3 linked regions of the Drosophila melanogaster genome follow. The protein of the gene in region 3 purifies or fractionates together with the protein of the main gene of each other region. This does not show direct contact. Each region holds a gene or a part of one and is shown on either strand. Other genes may lie near its edges.

Region 1 (4,770 bases), on a different chromosome or scaffold from region 3:
ACCAGGCTCAGTACGCTCTGCTTTACGGTGTCGTTATCACTGTGGTCCGACTTTCGGGACTCAATGATCTGTAGAAATAATCTTGCATATTATATGATTAATACAAGAATCTAGCACTCACTATCCTGAAGATGGCGTGCGAACGACTGGACCGCTCGTTCATGTTGGTCTCGCCCACGACGCGCTCCTTGTTGCCCATGTAGAGCTGGCGCAGGAGGTCGTCCTCGCTGGTTACGATGGACTCCTTGCAGTTCACATTCACAATCCCATTGCCGGACTCATGGATCTTGAGGTCCTGATTCTTCTTGTTCAGCAGATCGTAGATCTTCTCGTTGTAGATCTCGATGTAGCCCACGCGCAGCAGAAAGTCCCGCTCCGTCTCACTGGAGATCTGTTGAAAGATCTCCTTGGCGGCTAGCACCATGACGCCCGGATTCTGTTCGTCGCCCATCATGGTGTACGTCTTGCCTGAAATGCATGCCCGGTTTTAGGTATACCGCCGCGTATATATAGCACAGTACCCACCCGACGACGTCTGGCCGTAGGCAAAAATAGTTCCGTTGGAGCCCTGCATGCAGGCGTGCACTATGTGCTTGGCCATCCGGTCGAACACCTCCTGGTTGCTGGCGCCCTCGTCGAACACATAGTCTGCCAAACGGAATGGAATGTAAATGAGATAAAGGTCTTGTAGATCAGGATACGCTCAACGCTCTAACCACTCACCGAAGACATAGGGCTCCGCATGGCTGTCCGCCAACTGGATGGAGCGGCCCTCCTTCACCTGCCAGAGTGAAGTGAGCCCGGGCTCGCAGGGACGCACCTTGATGCAGACCTGGATGGAGCTGGCGTTCTTCGTAGACATCTTTGCGACTTGTGGGAAACGTGTTTGACATGCACAATGAACAGACACAAACAGATTTTAACGTTTTATAAAAGCTAGTTTGATCGACATGTTAGTTTCTCTTTGTAAATTCGAACAAATACCGCTTCGGAAGCGAACCAGATCGAAATACGGAACCAGTAAATAGGCGCGAGCCAGTTCAATTTAAAAGTTTGAGGAGCTTTCGGCGAATATGAAAATATAATCCAATAGGCTTCGAACATAAAACTTTTTCCGAGCTTTTTCGTGATATATAATATAGATTATTATTATCTATATTTCCAAAATAGTAAAGACCGCTAAATTAAATGCTTACTTACAGACAGACAAAAGCTGAGGGGATTGTTTAATGCATACAGAAGAATACTGTCTGATATAAACATGAGATTTCATTGGAATAATAATCCCAGTTGTTCACTATTAAAAAAAATAGGAAAATTGAAAATTTGGAAAATATTATAGTGGTTATATTAGGGAGCTTAGTTATAATTTATTTCAAATATTTGTTTTGGAATCAAATACTTTCCACATTATATGTGTGCTATGAATAGAAGTTATGAATTAGTAGAAAAAATACGAACTTATATGAAATTTAAACCGTAGTTTTCGCATGTATTTAAGAGCTTGTTCTATTTTCTGTTTGACCTTAAAGTATTGAGTCATAGAACTTTGTTAGTTAGCATGCCCTACCAATAAGAACACAACGTCTTAGAATATATATATGCCGTAGCGACCCTTGATCAGGAATGTTAATGCAGCCCTGTGGGATAAGAACATAATGTGTTTCTGTTTTTATTTTTGCAGCCCTATTTGGAACTATGATAACAATCGATGAACCGATTTATCTATCGAGTCGTTAGCGCCACTCGAAGATATCGAAGCATATACATCCCTGATTTTGCAAAGCGGCATTTGTTCGAATTTAACGAGCAACAAAGATGTCGATCAATGTTTGTTTACTGTAAAACATTGAATTTTATGTTTGTTTATGAACTGCGTTCTGTTTATCATAAAGCATTGAGACCAAGAAGGCGCCAAGATGTCTGCGAAGAACGCCAGCTCCATCCAGGTCTGCATCAAGGTGCGTCCCTGCGAGCCCGGGCTCACTTCACTCTGGCAGGTGAAGGAGCGCCGCTCCATCCACTTGGCGGACAGCCATGCGGAGCCCTATGTCTTCGGTGAGTGGTTAGAGCGTTGAGCGTATCCTGATCCACAAGACCTTTATCTCATTTACATTCCATTCCGTTTGGCAGACTATGTGTTCGACGAGGGCGCCAGCAACCAGGAGGTGTTCGACCGGATGGCCAAGCACATAGTGCACGCCTGCATGCAGGGCTTCAACGGAACTATTTTTGCCTACGGCCAGACGTCGTCGGGTGGGTACTGTGCTATATATACGCGGCGGTATACCTAAAACCGGGCATGCATTTCAGGCAAGACGTACACCATGATGGGCGACGAACAGAATCCGGGCGTCATGGTGCTAGCCGCCAAGGAGATCTTTCAACAGATCTCCAGTGAGACGGAGCGGGACTTTCTGCTGCGCGTGGGCTACATCGAGATCTACAACGAGAAGATCTACGATCTGCTGAACAAGAAGAATCAGGACCTCAAGATCCATGAGTCCGGAAATGGGATTGTGAATGTGAACTGCGAGGAGTGCATCATAACCAGCGAGGTTGACCTCCTGCGCCTGCTATGCTTGGGCAATAAGGAGCGCACCGTGGGCGAGACGAACATGAACGAGCGGTCCAGCCGTTCGCATGCCATATTTAAGATAGTAAGTGCAGCCTGCTATTTTCTTTCCGATAATCTGCAACATGTATCCCACAGATCATCGAGTCCCGAAAGTCGGACCACAGCGATGACGACGCAGTGATTCAAAGCGTGTTGAACCTGGTGGATCTGGCTGGGTCAGAGCGGGCGGACCAAACGGGTGCTCGAGGAGCGCGCCTCAAAGAGGGCGGTCATATAAACAAGAGCTTACTTTTTCTCAGTAACGTTATCAAAAGTCTGTCGGAAAACGCGGACAATAGATTTACCAACTACCGCGATTCCAAGCTGACGCGCATTCTGCAGGCTTCTTTGGGCGGCAATGCATTCACATCCATCATTTGCACAATCAAACCATCGATCATGGAAGAGTCGCAGTCTACCCTTAGTTTCGCCACGCGAGCCAAGAAAATTCGCATTAAGCCCCAAGTCAACGAGATGGTATCTGACGCCACAATGATGAAGCGGCTGGAGCGAGAAATAAAGGTGCTTAAGGATAAGCTGGCCGAAGAAGAGCGCAAAAACGAGAACCAGCAAAAGGTAGAGCATCTGGAGAGACAAATAAAACACGACATGCACAAGATAATCTGTGGTCACTCCCTGAGCGACAAGGGTCAGCAGAAGCGTCGCCGTACTTGGTGTCCCACTGCATCGGGATCGCATTTGGAGCTAGCAGAGACCGGCACAACTGAAGATCGAATTGACCAATTTCCAAAGGTCTCACACCTTCCAAAACCAGTGTTTTTTCACACTTCAAATGCAGGCAAACGATGGGACAACATTCCAAAGACCATAAACATTTTGGGTTCCCTGGATATCGGTACCGAGAGCAACTCCATTAGTGAGGAATTTCTCCCGGCAGAATGCATTGATTTTGGCTCCCCTCGCCCAGATGTCCTCAAACCCATGTTGACCATCAGGCAACTGCCAGACCTGCCCCTCACTCCCAAGGGTCCCTTAACGTAAGTACTTCTGCAAGCTTTTTGATCATCCTCCATAACATTCATCACATAACAATCGCATCCACATACCCCGACCCGATCCCTGCACTTATTTGCCTGCACAGAACGGATAAAATCAAGAAGGAAATCCAGGACCTGCAAATGTTCACCAGCTTAGAGAAGCATTTTGAGGTGGAGTGCGAAGAGGTGCAGGGTTTAAAAGAAAAGCTGGCCGAGGTTACAGCACAGCGGGATAATTTAGAGCAAGAATCGTTAGCCGAAAAGGAGCGGTGAGTTAATGAGGTGTTTTCTGTCAAGGAATCTGTCGTCCAAAACATAGTGCCTGCATCGTAAAAAACGATGTAAACGTAACTCGACTTTTGTGCTTTAAGCAGTCAACCCAAAATCTAACATACCTATTCATACAAATCTGTAAAACTAGTGCAGCGATATTCTATTCCATTCTATAAAAACAAAACACTTAAGTATATGTTTCAGTTTTTAACAGTAAATTTTGTTTATAGAACACCACTCCACAATACCTGTTTGTTTGATTTATTTTATTATAGTTTTAGTGTTTAACAATAGTTTACTACTTGTGTATCTTCTTATAGTTATGATGCTCTGGAAAAGGAAGTAACCAGCCTAAGAGCGGATAATGAGGCTGCGAATTCAAAAATCAGCGAATTGGAAGAGAAACTGAGTACTCTAAAGCAGACTATGAGAATAATGGAAGTGGAAAATCAGGTGGCCGTGGGCCTCGAGTTTGAGTTTGAGGCTCACAAGAAATCATCGAAACTTCGCGTGGATGACTTACTCTCTGCCCTTTTAGAAAAGGAGTCGACTATAGAGAGTCTTCAAAAGTCCCTCGACAATTTAACCCGCGATGTCTTACGGAACAGCAAGGAGGGCCACATGCTTTCCATTGCCCCAGAGCAGGAAGACATCGCCGGCGACAGTATATGCAACAAGTGTGAGGAACTGGAGAAGCTGATTGCAGATTTAGAGTCCAAGAAAAATTCATGCGAGTGTGATCAGCTCCGGTTGGAAATCGTCTCTGTTCGCGACAAGTTAGAGAGCGTTGAATCTGCCTTTAACCTGGCAAGCTCGGAGATTATCCAAAAGGCGACTGATTGCGAGCGACTTTCGAAAGAGCTATCCACATCCCAGAATGCC
Region 2 (5,175 bases), on a different chromosome or scaffold from region 3:
TGCTCCATCATGACCTCGTTGAGCTCTGCGGTCTGCTTCTCCATGTCCTCCTGCAACTGATTCTGGGCATATTGGATGGTGGACAGTTCAATGGATAGCTCCTTGAACTGCTGAATCAGTGGCTTGAGCTCATTGTTCAAATGTTTTTCGCGGCTTTCGATCTTTTCCAAGTCGAAAGTGAACTCGCTGTGCAGTTTTTTTAGTTGAGCCTCGGCGGTATCGGAGTTTTCCAATATGTTTGTTTTTAAGGTCTCCATCTGGCTGATGTGGGTCCTCCAGTCCCGGGCGTCTGCTTTGACGAACACTTTCAGTTGGGGCAGGACTCTTTCCAGTTCCAGATGCCACTCCTGATGATCGCTCATGCGAGCATCTAATTCAGGATTTCGTTCATCCAGGTTGACATCTCCATTGGATTTCTTTTGCGGACGATTCAACCAGTTCAGCTGCCGGAAATTGTGCGCCTCCAACTCCATGTCACTATCATCACTTAAGGCGGCTGCATTCTGCTCATCCTCCAGTTTCTCCAATATGATCTCTGCATTGTCCTCCAGATAATCGCCCAGGAACTCCTCCTCCTGGGCGATGTGCAGCTTTTGGTAGCCCACTTGGGCCACTTTGCAGGCTTGTGTGGAGAGAACTTCCAGGACCGACAGGCAGATGGGTCCAGCTCCACGAATCAGCTTATTGGGCTGGAAATCCACTGGGACATCCTACAATGAAAATATTGTAGTATTGTAGTAATACAACTTAGTCCTAGTACTCACAATCTCCCCAAGCAATTTAATGATATTGGCGGCCACAGTGTTTGGATCATCGTACTCCTGTGGCCGCTCCATATCCTTTCCGAGTTTCTTGCATAGCCACCAGCATATTAAAGTAAACATATAGAATTGCTCTCCGGGATTTGTGGCCTTTACGAAATAGAAACGCGACAGCGGTTTTAGTTTGAATTCCTTGAGCAAATGTTTTTCGTAGTTGAGTAACTTCAATTTTTCCAGTAAGTCATCGGATTGAAAGTTTTGTAGCTGCTGGGATTTTTCCTGTTCATCATCTTGCTGCATTTTACAATTTTTATTTGTTGTGTTCCTAAATAAACTAGTGTTAAGTGTGAGCCAGCTGTTTGGAAACAAAATTGTCGCCAAGGTAACGATATGTGTGTAAACACACCGAGCGCATGCGTCCTAGCTTATACCCTTTTATTTCTATTTTATTATACTATTTTTTTTAGTATCAGCTCATTTTTCATTCATTTAATTACTAGAATAAAGAAAAATTTTAATATTGCCTAATATTTAAAAATGCTTTGAATTACCGGAAGAGGGCGGCAACGAGTTGAATGTTAGCATGCGGTTAACATAGCTTGCCGTATAGAAGTTTGCTGTAAAAAGTTGCAAAGGCAAAAGTAATATTCTACTTAGAATAAAAGAAAGATTGTTTAGCTTAAAACTTAAAACTGAGTGAAATTTTAGTCAAAATTTTTAAAAATGCATTTCTCTTCCGGAAGATGGCGCTAACCGTTAATGTAACAACACTGTTAGTCTGCGCTTACCAGCACAAGTCTCCCTGTTATTTGTAATCGATCAACAATGCGAGCAATCCATACCGATTACTTTAGAGTCAAATATCGATTGACGGTTGAAAAATATAAAAAATTGGCGTCTTTTTTATGCAAACCAAATGTACAAAAACTTGGACCTTGACACCCTTAGCGTGGATGACATCGTGGAGGAGTACAAGCTGCTGCACGATCGCCACCAGCAGCTGAAAGACCAGAGCGAAAAGGATGCGCAAAGGATTTATGAGCTAAAAAGGAATCTGGACACTGCCCTCGCCGCCGAATCGTATTTGACCCAGGAACTGGAGCATCTGAGTAGCCAGCCTGTGGCCATCGCGTCTGGAGGGAATGGCCAGGAACTGGAGGAGCTGCGTCGAAAGTTCAAGACCCTGAAAGAGGAACAGGATGTCCTACAGCAAGACTACGACGCCAAGGTGGAGGAGACCAGATCACTGAAAGATAAGCTGACTGCCGCTGAAAAGAATCTGGCGGAAAAGTCCGCCTCCAGGTCAAATCAGCTTCACGATGACTTTTTTGCCCGTTTGAATGCCCTAGAACTCGAAAACTGTGAGCTGTTGCAAAAGCTGGCCGAGTATGAGGACTTGCGCATCGCAAACACTCTGGCGGTGGCTGAAAAAGAGGTAGAAATATTCCTCATAAGTATCTAAACAACTACATCATTTAAATACTATCCTGAATTCCCAGAAAACCATCGAATGTCTGCAAGATCGGGTGAGCTGCATGGAACAGAATCTGAACTGCAAGCGGGATGAACTGGAGGAAAAGCTGCAATTGCTGGAGAGTTGCCAGGAGCAACTGGTGGATGCCAATGCCAAGATAGCACTGCTTACCTCCGCCCCTGAAAACAATGGTAGTTAAGATTAACATGGCACCCTAAAATTTGTTTTAAAAAGGGCTTTATGCACTATTTTTATAGACCGCAAGGGCAACTCTCTGTTCGCTGAGGTGGACGACCAAAGGCAAGCGATGAAGCAGATCCTGGCGGCCCAGAAAAAAAGCTATCTGGATATGAAGAAGATCTTCACGGACAGCCAATTTGAGATCAGACGTCTCAAGCGGGAAAACGTGGCCATGCACACGGAGCTGCAGGCCTGTAGCACAATCTTTTGCAGTGCGGACAAGACCTATCAAAGTGAGTAATCCACATTCATTGGTCTGTAAAGAAGATTAATATAGGAGTATTCCCCCAGATAAGCTGAATGAGCGCATCCGGCAACTGATGACTGCCAACGACAGCCTAGAGCGGCAGCTTAATCTCTCCCAGGAGCGGCTGCGCCAGCTGGCCAGCGAGAAGTCGGTCACCTGGCTGGACTCGATGCTGGATTTCTGCAAGTATGAGTTGCCCCTCTTGGTCGACACCGCGCTGGCATCGCTCGGCAATAAGTTGCTGAGCCTCACCAGCTACGGCCTGTTCTTGCTGACCAGTTAGGTAGCCTCCACACCCCTAATTCCTAAAAATCATCCCAATTTAGACGCGAAACGGACGAGCTGAAGGCGCAGCTGCATAGCATGCGAATCCAGAAGGCCGGACTGGAGGAACGGATGCGATGCGTTCAGCAGGAAATGGCACGGTATATACACTATATTCCTTTTCAAAGCTATATTTATTTTATAATTATTTATATTTTCAGCTGGCGCTTTGAGTCCCTAAAATCCCGCTGTGTGCTCATTGATCGCGAAAATCTGCTGGCGGAGCATAAGATCGTTTTCAAGCCCATGCAGGCCATGGAGTTTAACATCAAGGAGGCGGAACTTAAAACTGCATTGCCCCGCATTGTCAGTGTAGCGGCACAATCTCCATCATCATCAGCTCAACTACATACACATCCAGAAACATCTTTGAAATCGGCTGCGGAAACCACAAGCAAGTCTTTTCCAACTGCAACGGAAATTATTGTTCTTGATGCGCCCTTAAAGCCTGCCATTAAAGAAGAGGTAGTGGAGCCACTTAGCCAAGAATTAAAACCAGCACTAAAAGACACATCCGTAAAAGTCGAACAGGAACTAGAGGTATCCGAAAGCAAGGCTTGTATAAAAAGAACACCTATTAAGACAATTATGGGTATGAAAATAAAACGAGAAATCGACTTAAACTTGGAACAGCAGGACGCGGTTGATATCAAAAAGGAGTTGGAAGCTCCAGAATTAATTCCAAAACCGCAGCTGAAAGGCACTCCAGTCAAAGCCAAAAACGATGGAGTAACACCTCAAATGAATATACAAGAAGATGAAAACGAAGAAACGGGTCTAAATTCCGTGGAAACCCCAGCCAAACCTTTGATGAAGGGTACCCCAGTTAAGCAGCGACTGGGAGGGATAAAGGTGAAGTCCAACGAAGAACTGCTGGGAGCAAGACTGCCTGGTACAGTAACGCCTGCTAAACCGCAGCGCAAAGGAACTCCTGTGAAGCTCATAAAGCTGGAAACGGAAACTGAAGACAGCAGCGATGAGGCGGCCAAGGAATCTCCCATCAAGCAAGATGGGACATTGAGTGTGGAAATTCTGGACAGTCCAACGCCACAAAAACCGCAGCGCAAAGGAACTCCTGTGAGGATTCCCGTCATCAAAGACTCGACCAACGAAAATATCCGCTCTATCCTCAGCAAAAAACGGCAAGTCTTCGCCGAAGATTCGCAAAAGGCTGTGAAGTTTAGCGCGAACGATCCCATTGTTCACAATTTGAGTCCGCTTGAGAGATGTCCAAATGGGGAAACCACCAAGGAAAATGACAAGCCAAAGGAAAGTGAAGACAACCAGGACGTAAAACCCACAATTAAGAAGCCAAACATCATACGGCGTATTGTTGTGAGCTCTCGTAAACCAATTATGAAATGATTGCATGAATTCCAATGGAAATTTTAAATCGAATTTAGACTTATAAAAACTTAACAAATAATAACAACGCAGGGCACAGCAAATCAGGGTGCAGAGACTTTATTCTTTACAAATACACTACGAACTAAAAAAAAACTTAGCAATAAAAACAAATCAACTCTTTATTAATACAGTTGAGCTTACTTAAACTACCCTAGGTGTAACCAGCAGTACCTTTGCTGTTGTGCGACCTTAAACTGTAAAAGAATAATCCATCCAGATTCGTGTTCTCTATTTACGTATTCAAAGACAACTGAAATTTACAAAGCCTAGAAATTATTAAGGAATTAAGTATATCAAAGATGGATTCTACCTAGGATATATCTCTCAGTTCATCCAGTTTTGGCATCTCCTCCACAAACGACAGATGATCGTAGATGGGAGCCGTAGGGCCGGTAGTCACGGCCAGCACCTCATCCGCATCCCCATTCTCATCCGCCTGCTCCTTGATCTCTGCGTACAGTTGATAGGGCAGCTCAGCTGGTAAGGACTCGTAGGTGACATGATGGGTCCTCGAGCAGGTGGATTCTCTGTGACCAGTGCAATTGCAAATCGAGGTACCTCCACTTACAGGAGTCTCGTATCCATCTGGCAATTCGGTTTCCACATCCACTGGGCAACTGGAACCGCCATTAGCAATGGGATAGCGCACTATGTCCACATGATCCACAAACCTCGGCCCACTGGATGATTTTTCGCCACCAAAACAGGGCAATCCCGAGGCG
Region 3 (4,994 bases):
AGGAGCGCGAGATGCTGGAGAAGCTTCAGCGCAAGCTGAAGACTACGCCTGAAACCGAGCATCGAGCAGTGGAGTCAGTTGATGACAGTGTGGAGCAGTGTGATACGAAGGCAAAGAAAAAGAAAAAATCCATAGCGGAGGAGTTTTCCGAGGCATGTGAGGTTTCCCAACTGGAAGAGCCCATAAAATCCAAGAAAAAGAAGAAAGACAAGGCTGAGAAGGCAGGAAAGGAATCCCCAGCACATCAAACTCCAGAAGATCCCGTCAAGATCAAGAGGAAAAAAAATAAGACACGGGAGCCGGGAGAGGAAGACGGTGTGGAAGTCGAAGAGCCAGTGAAGATAAAAAAGAAGAAGGACAAGAGAGCGGATAGGCAAGCAGGGCTTGGAGCAACTGAAGGACTGCCCCAGGATGTTGAAACTGATGAACAAGTAAAGTCAAAAAAGAAGCGAAAAACGGCGGACTCTTCGGAGGAATCGGAAACTAGCACAAAACTAAAAAAGAAACGAAAGAACAAGGAGAACGTGTAATAGTTATAGTCCACTTTAGAATAAACGATGTTAGAAAAATGTAATTTATGAAAATTGCTCATGGAATTCTAAAATTCTATACGGAGTATTCCACATTTCGAAAGTAAGGCTGTGTGCACACAAAATGTTATGTATTTATGGGTCTAAAAAATCTATACAGGATTGGGGGCTTTATAAAACTAGAGTTTGGTCACCTAAATATAGTCGGCAGTCCCGGGGATTACTTTCTGCCCTTGGCCTTAATGCGTCGCGATTTGCCAAGCCGCTTGTTGACCGAAGCACCTGCCTTTACGCCCCGCTGGCGCCTGGAGGACTTGTCGCCATCCAATCCCGCGGAGGAGGACTTTGTGTTCCTCTTGAGGCCCTTCTTCTTGCCGCCGAAGCCGAACTTCTTGTTGCGCTTCTTGCGATTCTCGGCTGACTGCTTCTGCTTGGACTCAAGCGCCTTGGCGTCCTCCAGGAAGTCCAGGTTTTTCAGCTTGCCCTTGCGGAACTTCTTCAGTTTGTCCAGCATGTCCTTCTTCTCGGCTTCGCGTTGGACCTTGGTCTGTTTGGCCAGCATCTTGCCCATCTTGCGCTGCTCGCGGATCTGCTTGATGCGCTCGGATTTCGCCTGTCCTTGCTGTTTGGCCATCAGGTTGGCGCGCACCTTCTGCATGTGCTCGTCGGACTTGGCCATTTCAGCGAAGTAGTCATCGGGTCGACGAGTCTTTATGCCCAGCTCGTGAAGGCGGGGAATGGCCTCCAGAACAGCACTTTGCGCCTGTCGGTGGAAGAGCATCTCCCTCTTGAAGTCATTCAGGACGGGATCCTCCTCGGGCCGAATGTAGGGCAGCTTGGCGTTGCCCTTGAAGAGATTGGCCCGCTTCTGCTCGTGCTTCTCCAGCTGTACAGCGAGTTCCGGCGCCAGTGGAGCTAGTGTGTTGATCATGTCCAGGCGTTCCAGCCAAGGCAGTTGCATCTTGATAGCCTCTGTCTTGGCCAGCAGTTTGGTCTATGTGGGCAGGATTGGATTAGTCGATTCAAAAGCGGGCATCCAGCTAGCTACTTACCACATCGTTCACTTTGTCTCTCTGGCCATTGAATTCCACATTTAGGCCTGGTTTCAAGTCGCCTCGCTCAAATGCCGCTTGCAGCTGCAGGAAAAGAGTGGAGATTTTGGTATACGGGGTGTTCATTTCTTCGGTTCCTCACTTACCTCGGCATCTGAGTTATCCCCTGAGTCGTAGCCCGAGGCACTGTCCTCCATTTCAAAGTCCGACATGTCTGAATTAACTAAATTAAATCTGATCCAAATAAAAGAAAACAATTTCAACACGTGCGGGGATAAGAATTATCGATTGTTGCTGGCCTAAGTCTATCGGCTATCGATGTTGCAGTGTGACCTTCACGCGGCTTACTGCTAAAATTATTGAGGTGCACTAAAAAGCGAAGTGCTGTGTGACCGTTTAACCAATTCTCGCTTCGCTTTTCAAATACTGCCGCTTTTTGTTTCTGTTTTGCGAATTTGCTCCAAAAATGTCGGCTTCTGCGAACTTGGCAAACGTTTACGCGGAGCTAATGCGGCGGTGTGGCGAGTCATACACGATCACCTATGGAGCGCCACCCACCTACTTGGTGAGCATGGTGGGGGCTGCGGAAGCTGGCAAGAAGATTGTGCTGGTCTTTAAGGAGGATCGCAATGGAGCAGTGGCGAGACTCCGGACCACGCCCACCAGGGCAGCCCCAAAAAAAGAGGGCTCTGCGGACTTGGATCTGACGGGAAGTCCTTTGAAGGACGACTGCCTGGTGGACGCCATAGCCGACTTGTCCATCGACCTGCAGCTGGATCACTCGAATCCCTGGAAGCTGGAGGAGGAATATCAACGCGGAATACCCGTGGACAAGGCTAGGTCCATCGTGTGCTCCGAGTTCCTGCAGCTGGCCGAGGGACTCGGATCCGTGTGGTTTTTGTGCGACGGCAGTGATCTCGGGCAGACTCAGTTGCTCCAGTACGAGTTCAACCCTACGCACTTCTCCAGGGGAATACTTAGCTACCAGGGTGTGCGCCCTGCTTACTTAGTAACCTCGCAAGCCCTGGTGCGCCATCATGGCAAGACACCGGATGAAACTCTCATTGAAAATAGCTACCAGGTCAATCCCCACATGAGACTACGCTGCTCCTGGACCTCTAGTGCTGCACTTCCGCTCCTGGTGAACCTGAACGACTGCGATGTGGCTTTGAATCACACTTTTCGCGTGGGCGACTGCGGTCCTTTGACGCAGGACTTTATGAATCAGCTGCGCATTCTGGTCTACATACGCGAGGACATCGTCTCCTACCACACGGATGTCAAGCAGGGCGTCTCTCGGGATCCCACCTATCGTTGTGGCAGTGGCATTGACATGGACGAGCTGCGCGAGTCCATTAATCAGACAATGACAGATGTCTCTGGCCTTATAGGTCGGTATAGCATCAGCAATGCGGAGTTTGACATCGAAGATGTGGTGCAGAGGGCCAAGGTTCGCCAGCTCACGGATCTAACCGATAAGCTTTGGGAGCTGCTCAAGTGCTGCCACTCCTACAAGGATCTCAAAATTGCCTTTAGTATGCTCTTCCAATGTGCTGCACGGTGTAACATAGTAGTAAGTATGCTAATGCATGCAAACCACCACATATTATTCATGTTCCTCACCCCATAGAACACGCCTACTAACAAAAATCGACTTGCCAAGATTATCACCGAGTTGGCCAACCGTCGTCTGGCCATGCCTTGTTTAAGTGGGGCCGAGCCTCTGGAACTGCTTTTGGAAATTGGCCTGGAGAAGTTGTACAAGGACTACGAGTTTATCTACACCGAGAGCAAGATGTGCAGCACCAATCTGTTGAAGGATGACTCCAGCGGAGCGTCGATGGACGATGGTTCTCCCCAGAATCTGCCCCAGCTTCGAAAATCCCTGCACAATGCGGTCAGGGGTGATCCGACCCCTGGAGCTGGAATGCGAAAGACGCTGCTGCATCATCACGGCGCTGTCAATTCGCGGAGTACAAAATATGCCGGTAGCGACGATGATGCTGGGTTCAAAAACAGCCATTTCGACGAGCACGAGAGTACGGAGAGAATCTCAAAGTTGTTTCAGATTCACTGCACCTTAGAGCATCTCCTGATGATGCACATCCACTTAAATCTGGCAAATGGTAAGAAGGACAAAAAGCAGATCCTGGGATTTTTAGCTATAACTCCGTTTTTGACCTACAGTTTACAACGATGTCTGTTCTGAATTGCTGAAGAAACCGCCTAAATTAGTAGAATCCATCGATGATCAGCTAAGTGATGTTATGGACATTCGCCTGTCTGCCCACTATGTGAGGGATCACTTGGATGGCAAGGATCCCTACTCCCGGCACATTACCATGCGTTCGCACAACAAGTTCCGCGAACTAAAGACCACCTTCTATTTCAATTCGGAAAACATTTGTCCGCCGAACTTGGCTCAGTGTTTCCAGTGTGATGGTAAGTTTGCTTTTTGACTTGTTTATTTTCTATAGCTATGGTAATATATTTGACTTCGCAGACAAGGAGATGGTCAAGGAGCGCACATATCATTCCTGGATATATCACAAGATTCGCTCACTTAAGTAAGGCTTGCTTAGTAATACAAAATTGTACATTCTTTAAATTTAAGCATGGCTAAGAATGGTTTAAAATGGCCTTTTTCACATTGTAATAATTTATTTAATGGATATCTAGCAAGAATGTCCCTTAGCTGCATAATGTTTTGAGACACATTTAAAATGTTGAATTTTTTCAAACACTGCTTGTTGTATTATTAAATTAAATGCCTTTTGGTTATAACTTTTCAAACTTTTTTTCTATCGAACCTTTTTGTTCGGAATTTTAATTGTTTGAGCTTGTTGAACACGCTCTTCGACGCGTTTTCGCAAACCTCCAAAAAAGTCAGCAGTGCACACCGAAATCATGTTAAACGAACTCGTACAAGTTTTAAGCCGACCCAGAGGCTATTGCAGCTGCATTGGGAATCTTGAAAACCTGGCCGAAATCCGCTTCCGCCCTGCTCGCACTTTTATCACAGTGTTTTTGCCGGCCATATTCTATACAAAGGTCAGCATGACCAGCATTTGGCCATTCCTCCAGTGAAGTAATGCTGCAAATGAGGCGAAAAGAGTGTGTGCCCAATGGTGACGGCGCCATCGAGCATTCCCGATATGTTACAATCCAATTAGCCGGATGCGCCAGTTGGCCAACTAGAGTACTTGGCCCGTCGCTGATTGATTTGCAGTTTGTCAGACGTGCGTGGAACGCGCAGCGGTTCGGTCGTGTTTTTTCCAGCCCTGTTTTTCCCCTGAAAAGCGAACGGAATTTCAAGCAAGGATTTCCACGCGAGTGTCCTGGCCAGGGAATATAGCCACTGGGAGCTGGAAATCAAATCAAATTTTTTGGACAGTTGACTAAAGAGTGAAGA

Evidence for each region.
Region 1: the proteins of Zwilch (region 3) and cmet purify together in Drosophila melanogaster (affinity purification with mass spectrometry, with the first as the bait; one study listed by BioGRID). This does not show direct contact.
Region 2: the proteins of Zwilch (region 3) and Spindly purify together in Drosophila melanogaster (affinity purification with western blotting; one study listed by BioGRID). This does not show direct contact.

Annotation. Positions count from the first base shown.
Region 1 is NT_033779.5:11,265,996-11,270,765, reverse strand, and holds the start of cmet (CENP-meta), read left to right. Parts: upstream 1-1,763; 5' UTR 1,764-1,919; coding exon 1,920-2,058; intron 2,059-2,133; coding exon 2,134-2,256; intron 2,257-2,313; coding exon 2,314-2,660; intron 2,661-2,713; coding exon 2,714-3,615; intron 3,616-3,719; coding exon 3,720-3,884; intron 3,885-4,208; coding exon 4,209-4,770. Other genes in the region: cana (CENP-ana), read right to left, coding at 1-68, 122-468, 526-648, 724-862.
Region 2 is NT_033779.5:3,526,789-3,531,963, reverse strand, and holds Spindly (spindly), read left to right. Parts: upstream 1-1,646; 5' UTR 1,647-1,677; coding exon 1,678-2,196; intron 2,197-2,260; coding exon 2,261-2,426; intron 2,427-2,492; coding exon 2,493-2,708; intron 2,709-2,766; coding exon 2,767-2,908; intron 2,909-3,048; coding exon 3,049-3,147; intron 3,148-3,207; coding exon 3,208-4,411; 3' UTR 4,412-4,577; downstream 4,578-5,175. Other genes in the region: IFT57 (intraflagellar transport 57), read right to left, coding at 1-710, 765-1,061; CG8852 (uncharacterized protein), read right to left, coding at 4,764-5,175.
Region 3 is NT_033777.3:31,210,344-31,215,337, reverse strand, and holds Zwilch (zwilch), read left to right. Parts: upstream 1-1,961; 5' UTR 1,962-2,048; coding exon 2,049-3,155; intron 3,156-3,212; coding exon 3,213-3,708; intron 3,709-3,769; coding exon 3,770-4,024; intron 4,025-4,085; coding exon 4,086-4,153; 3' UTR 4,154-4,372; downstream 4,373-4,994. Other genes in the region: CG15561 (uncharacterized protein), read left to right, coding at 1-530; CG1542 (uncharacterized protein), read right to left, coding at 751-1,524, 1,583-1,666, 1,729-1,794. UniProt on the Drosophila melanogaster protein: Essential component of the mitotic checkpoint, which prevents cells from prematurely exiting mitosis. Required for the assembly of the dynein-dynactin, Mad2 complexes and spindly/CG15415 onto kinetochores.